Linked DNA regions of Kluyveromyces lactis. The protein of the gene in region 1 purifies or fractionates together with the protein of each later gene. This does not show direct contact. Links are inferred from orthologs where the notes say so. Each region holds a gene or a part of one and is shown on either strand. Other genes may lie near its edges.

Region 1 (3,938 bases):
CCTTGTGATACCTATTTCATTATTTTTAGTATTTAATGATTCAACTCTTCCGATAATAGTGCTGTAACAATAATTATATGCCATAACAATGGATGGGTATAATGATTGAAAGTCTAAAACTAATAAAGGACTCTTGTAAAAGGCAGATGAAGGTTCCATCACAAGTGGTATACATTCGAGTGCTTTTTGGTTACGGACCTGCATTCGGCTTGGAGAAATCAGAATGAATTGTTCTGATTTGCAAAGTCTAATTAAAAAGGATTCAACCTTGTATTGTGAGCCACGGTAAAGGACAGAATAAAAGTCAATCCCGATAAGTCTTGCTTGCTCGATGGTTTTTCCAATTATATTCTGAGTCTCTAAAAGCTTGAAATTTACTCGAAGTCTTGTGATCCAGTAAAATAGGAGACACCTTTTTGAAGTTTCGTCCATAGATTCATAGAACTCTGTCCTGGTTTTGTACGAATAAAAAGGTAACCGTTGGTGTAAAACATGAAATGCAATATTTTCTAATGTATAATCGAGAAGATTCAAAGAAGAGCGGAGAGGCCTCCATATGTTTAGCATTTGTCTTCCCGTTATCGAAAATGCTGTTGCGTGAGTGTAACCCCATCTGTCTTTTTTTTTGCTACTCTGGTTATAATCGACTCGAGAGAGTTCATCTTCCACATCATAATCATGTCCCTTGTGACATCTATCAATCAAGTAGCCCCACGAGGAAGAGTGTATTTCGTATCCTGACAAGATATCAGGATCGAAAAACCTCACTAAATCTTCTAATGCATATATCATTTCCAATTCATCGTAATAAGCAGTTATATGAACACTAGGATCGGCAGTTTTCCATGAATTTTCTGTCGAGACATCGTCTAGAAATATCAAAACACCTTCTTGAGTAATATCCAGGTCGAATGGAAAAGTTCCATCTTGCACTTTCCAAAATATCATCCTGACAGCATCATATTTAGGATCTGGAAACTTATCTTCACGAGTATTGACGTGAATTTCCATGGTGAAATGGGTCATTCTATTAGAAGCGTTATTATTTTTTTCTATTTTATTGCTCTTGAACTTGTATCCGAATGGTAGTTCTGGTGTTTTCCCCTCCACCATCGAGAATTTACCTTTGAAAGGCTTCATCGCATTGGCTATTCTTTTAAAAGACGGCTTTGGTCTTATATATTTCCATCTGCTTCTTGCATATACACTTCCTGAAGAAGTTAATGTTGCTGTTGTATCGTTACTACGGATGCTTCTTTTAAAGAGGATATGATCACTTGATAGCTTGAACACTCGACCAGCCATTTCCGTTTGTAGCCTTTTACAATCAAGTGGATTGGAGAAAAATGGATCGTTATACTGAACTTCTTCAATTTGGTTAGCAGATAAACTCTCCTTGATGTTAGCGTGTGTTACGCTAGGTCTGATCATCGGGCGAAATGTTGACTTTCTAATAGCAGATGTTTTTCGTTTTGCCAGTTTCCTAGCAATTGCTTCATTAGCAATATCGTCATGACATGAAGATTCCTCCGCACGTTTGGAACTGACATGTGAAGAGTGCGATTCATTGGAGGAAATATTTAGCAAAATGGGAATATTTTTAGTGTTTGTAGACGCTACTTTTTGTTCACGAACAGAAGTATATTGGTTGTTCAATTTGAATTCTACTTCTGACCAACAGAATACTTTACTACTAGCATTCCTTGGTATTTTGGGCCATAATTCTTGAAGGGCGTCTTTGGTACTTGCAAAAAAATTCTCATTAATGAAAGGATCCACAAAGTTGTCAAAATTTAAAGCTTTTTCTTTGTTAAAAAGGGAAGACATTCGTTTCTTAGCTTCATCAAAGTGTTTCACCAACCTTTCATCTTCTTTCCAATTATATTGTAATTGAGATTCTCGAAATATTTCTTTTAATCCTTCATATTCAGCAAGCCCTTTCCTTTTCCTAAGCAGTTGTATCTCTTTCCATATATCTTTTGTAGAATTAACATATCCTTGATCTGATGTTTGAAGGTCTTTCTTAAGCTCAACAAAATCATGGTGTAAATCCCTGAATTGAATTTCTTCTCTGTTTAAAATGAACTGTGGAATAATATCCATTTCAAGAAAGGTCTTTCCAATTCGATGAAATGGATCTATGTCTAAAACATTTTGATTCGGATGCAAGTGTTTTTTCAAAAAACGTTCCAAAGAGTCCGTGTGCAATATTTCATTCATATCTAGATCAGTTAACAGAACAGGTTGCCGAAAATAGCATTTGGATAGTTTTAACCATCCGCAACCAAATAAGTTATAGTCAGCCATCATTTGCAATAAATAAGGTATATGAGCCTCAAAGACATCCACTTTTGAGGTGAATATTCTGCCATCTCTAAGTAATTCAGAGAGTTTATTACTATATGAACCATTCAAAAGAGTAATTTTATAGTAAGGTTCATATCCTACGTGGTATCCGTAAAATGGAACGCCTTTGACAACGGACACATTAGCAATGTATTTCAGGGAAGTTAGCTTCTCTTTAAAATCTGTTTTGGTAAAAGTTTCAATCATCCGTGTCTCAAGTATTTTGTGCAAACTGGTACATCTATTCCGTATTACTGATGCTTTATCATTCGAATGTCCGTCATATTTGATGAATATGTAAGGGAAAATGCCATGGCAATGAATTAGAACTTTGTGTCCGGTAGATAAACATCCATAGAACCTTAGTACTGGCACCTGAACAAATCGAAGTCCAGGAAGGCTCTTACTAGTTTTACAATCCAATAGAGTTGGGAAGCATTGATAGCTGTCTGAATTATTAATCTGTATGTTGATTTCATTGGAGTCTAAGCTGGAGTCTAAAGAACCAAAAATATCACTCATCTGCAAGTAATCATCATATCAGATTACAGTCACCTTAATGTAGCACAGTTATATCTTCTGATGTAAACGATGTGAATGGTATAAAAGTAATATCCTTGATTAATGGGTGATATACTGTGACCAAACTTCAGATGAGAAATAGCGATGAGCAATCCTGCAAAGTTGGGCTAAACTTGATTATAGTTGGGTATATTAGTATTCATGATTACCCGGATATTGTGATCATTCTGATACGTAATGAATAATCATATTTTAGCTAAAGTGATTCTCGTATACTGGAGTTGTCCGAGATGAAAGTGAGATCTAGTTGAACAACATTCACCGCAAGTTCCTAATCGAATTTAATAGCAAATGTTACTTTAAATTGTTCTAATCTAGATTCTGTGGTATAGGAAGAAATTTGGTGATTCTATAAAATCCACAGTGTGAGGTGTATTTACAATGAATAATGACAACACAAAAGTGTACGTAAGAGTGGCAGGTAAACGACCTGAAAATTTTGTCGAAACAAAACCATTTATTTGGGATTCTCGTCGAGATAAGATTCTATGGACCAAAATCTCAAAAATTGACTCGTTAGAGGATATGGATTGGCAGGAATTGGGGGCTGATTTAGGTGCACCAGAACCCTTTCTCAAAAAACGGAGTTATACTTTATTTCAAAATCAACTAAAAGTTTTATCGAACCAAATAGACGTTACATCTAATACCCGGTCCTCATCAGAGTCACGAAATTCCGTTGACAACAACATTCTCCAAAATTTACAGGCATCAAGAATAATGAATCATAAATTGGATAAGACGGACAACTTAGCCAATAATCAAGAGTCTAGTAGTGAACTTTCGAATTTAAGTGTGAGCAAGTCAGCACTTGAGGACGCATTGATGGATTGTTTACAACTCTGAGAGGCATCTACTACATTTGCATTCAAAAAACCAATTATCCTTCAATATTGCCCTTCTCCGGTTGACGTCAAGGTGTAATATACCCTTGTAATCAATACAGAGCTCTTCTCCCTTCTGCACATCAGTTTGTAGAATGTATTGAAAGACTCTTTCGACCCTCTTTT
Region 2 (3,441 bases), on another chromosome or scaffold:
TAATGTACGATCTATAGTGCGTTGAGGTCTGAAAACTTTCTTAAAGGATAATTAAAAAACCAGTTTCAGAAGTAACTTTAAAACGTTTGGACTCTTAAAATGCGATGATAATATTCAATTGAAAGAGTAATTTGGAATATCGGTCCAAAATAAAAAGGAAAGATTTTCAACGGGCGATAAGTGATTGAGCAATAATCTTCAAAACCCAGTCTAAAGCTATAGCGATCTAACTTTTGTGAACTCACTCTTTAATAAAGTATAATGAAACACCAATTAATTTATTGCCGTACAAGCTGTCTGGCAATGTGGTAGTTAATCATTTCCTCTGTCTTATAATCTTTGTTAATCCAAAATTCTTAAATTTCAATCTCAATAGAAAGGGCAAGATAAATCGTTTGAAACGATATTAACCACCCCTTTTCTCTGATAGAAGAAATCGCACAAAGAAGGGGACGTGGTGGCCTGTTCACATCGTTGCGTACGGTGTATTCGGGTAACTTATTCACGTGTTAATGTTTTGTTTTGGGTCACGTGAGTCGCCGTATATTTCTATCTAGGTGTCAGTGCCAGTGCCAGCGTTTGTATCGTCTGTATCATCCGAATCTATTTGAAACTATTTGAATAAATACACAAGTTAATTTACTCATCCCTTTTTCTTACCGAAAAAACTCTCAAGTGTACGTTGACTGGAGCGAGCCTTCTTTTTCTCGACTGGTGTTGCTGGTTTCTTTGACGGTTCTGCCGTTTTCGCTGATTTCACAGGCTTTGGTGGTTTCTTCGTTTCTGTAGCTGGTCTCTTAGTAACCATGTATCCATCTTCGTCTATATATGTGGTCTGTTCTTTCGATTCGTGGACTGGCTCTTCTTTTTCCTTTTCCTTTTCCTTTTCTGGTTGAGATAGTTCCATTAAGGATTCGTCTACCGTCGTGTCAAGTAGTTCTTCTAAGTTTGTGACAGTGCGGTCTAGATTTACTGGTTGTGATTCTTGTGAAGGTACTGATTCTATCGCTACAGGGTGGTTTACTTCAGCCTCTTCTTCGCTTTCCTCTTTCTTATCACGCTTTTTAGAATTTTTATCGAATTGGGCTAAATCATCGTCATCATCATCGTCAAACATCGAGGCCAGTTGGTCCAATTGTTTTTGTTTCTCTTGGCTTACCACGACGTGATTTTTATCCTGCTGCTGGTGCTTCCTCCTTTCCAATTCCTCTTGTCTGTTCTTCTCCTTCTCCTCTCTTTCTCTTCTCATTCTGGCCAGAAGTTCAGTAGATTTTAGACCCATACTCTTAGTTGGTTTCTTAGGTTTTGTAACAGCAACTTCTGGGAACGTCTTTGCCCGTTGCTTCGTTACGACCGGTTCTGCCTCAGACTTTTTCTTGGGGCCGGCCACCATTTTTTGAGTCACATCTTGGGTGGTTATGTTAATTACACTTCCAATACCATCGCTTGTCTGGGGCCGTGTGCCATTTTGATTGTGCAGCTTGTAGGGGTTCTTGATCGTAACGTGTGTTCTTTCTCTATTTGTCAAATCAATAGTTTCCAGTGGGTTGAACGCATAGATGAAGAAATCCTTTATGTCTTCCTTTTCCGGTAGTTTCTCGGGATCCGTAATCATTTGTATTACATTGTGCTTCAAAACACATACTACAATGCATTGGATCGACTCATGTCTCGTAGTGCTATAGTACTGTACCATCTCATTCTTTGCTTTGTTCACATTTATCGAAAACTCATCGCACAAGTCTAAAAATGTTACAGGTTTACAGTCATTGATGAGTTTCTGCGTGATAAAATTCTCTATCGCTGTTACCATATTTCGATGATGATCAGCTCGAGCTTGCTTGCTCTTTTTATTATTCTCTCTCTTCAATTCTCATCGCTCTGTGCAGATAGCACTAAATGATGATTGAGTGAAGTTGCGTCTTTTTTTTTTTTGGTTAGCACCGTTTACGCGTAACAAAGTGTTGACAATTAGACATTAAGGCTCAATGGGGGGAAGCTTCGCAATAGTAGTGAAAGGGTCGATGTATGATACTAATGATCACCCCATATAAGAATTGGGTATATAAAATTATTACATAGTATGTGAAAGAGAAGGAACCACTCTAGTTTTAACTCTATTTTTAATGTAGTTAGGTTAAACAGAAATATTTTGAGCATGATGTAGGGGAAAAGGCAGTGACAATTATCAGTAATAGGTGTTGACGAAGCTTTTTCTACAACAGGATTCAAACACAGGTATAACCACCGTCAACTTGGATATCACAACCGTTGGTGTAAGAAGCAGCATCGGAAGCCAAGTATAAGTAAGCACCGACCAATTCTTGTGGCAAAGCTTCACGACCCACTGGTGTTAGACCCCACCAGTGAGCACGTTGTTCAGTAGGAACGAAGGAGGATAGCAGAGTATCAGTGTAACCTGGTGATACAGAGTTACATCTGATCTTACCAGCTGGAGAGGTCAAACCAGAGAATTCGACGGCGAAACCCTTGGCCATGTGTCTTACTGCAGCTTTAGAAGCGTTGTAACAGGTTTGGTAGTTTGGAACGTTACTGATGTAACTAGACATAGAAGCAGTCAAGATCAAATTACCGTGGCCTTGGTTCTTGAATACTTCAGCAGCGTACCTGCTACAGTGGTAAGTACCTTGGACGTTAACGTCCATGACTCTGCGCCACATTTCTGGGGTGGAACCATCGTTCAAGATAGAACCGTTAGTCCAGGCAATACCTGCGTTAGCAATGAATGTGTTAATTGCACGACCTGGGAAATCTTCCAAGATTCTTTCAAAGACAAATTTAACGTCGTCAGCGTTGGTAATATCTACTTGGTATGACTTGGATTCAATCCCGTAAGTCTTGCTCAAATGGACGGAAAGTTCTGGTTGGAAGGTTCTGTCCAAAATAATGACATCTGAACCACAAGAAGCGAAACCCTCACATAGAGCGCCACCAATGGCACCAGCACCACCAGTAATAACGGTCAATTTGCCCTTTTGACTGAACAAATTGAGGTAATTGACACCTTGTGGGTACTGTTCCGTTGGAGGAGCTTGTGGAACGACGGTGTCTTCAGTTGGAGTCTTGATGAAACTTTGGAATGACATATCTGTGTCTGATGAGGTTAATTGATAGTGTGGATTTCGCTTGTTCAAATTTCCCAATTATGAACCCAATTGAGGGAATAAAGCATATTGCAAGCAAGATTGGAGCAGCAATAGGGTTGAAACTAAAAAGTTACAATTATTTATATATGCATAATTTGTATTTTCGTTTCTTCGGATAAACTTAGAAGTATTTCACTTGAAAAATTATATGGTTTAGAACATACAAACATCTCAGGAATCAAATCAAAAAAAAAAAAAGCTACCTTGCTTTGTGCCTTTCCACCCACCCCCCACACATGCACACATATATACCGTACAAGTATGTGTAATGCAA

Evidence for each region.
Region 2: the proteins of REV3 (region 1) and POL32 purify together in Saccharomyces cerevisiae (affinity purification with western blotting; 3 studies listed by BioGRID, with this or other methods). This does not show direct contact. The link is inferred for Kluyveromyces lactis from reciprocal best matches to the Saccharomyces cerevisiae genes REV3 and POL32.

Annotation. Positions count from the first base shown.
Region 1 is NC_006039.1:855,096-859,033, forward strand, and holds the start of REV3 (DNA-directed DNA polymerase), read right to left. Parts: upstream 2,869-3,938; coding exon 1-2,868. Other genes in the region: ATG29 (Atg29p), read left to right, coding at 3,310-3,774; SET6 (Set6p), read right to left, coding at 3,763-3,938. UniProt on the Saccharomyces cerevisiae protein: Nonessential DNA polymerase. Required for DNA damage induced mutagenesis. Involved in DNA repair, mitochondrial DNA repair and translesion synthesis.
Region 2 is NC_006041.1:1,996,559-1,999,999, reverse strand, and holds POL32 (DNA polymerase delta subunit POL32), read right to left. Parts: upstream 1,814-3,441; coding exon 644-1,813; downstream 1-643. Other genes in the region: KLLA0_E22397g (uncharacterized protein), read right to left, coding at 2,229-3,107. UniProt on the Saccharomyces cerevisiae protein: DNA polymerase delta (DNA polymerase III) participates in chromosomal DNA replication.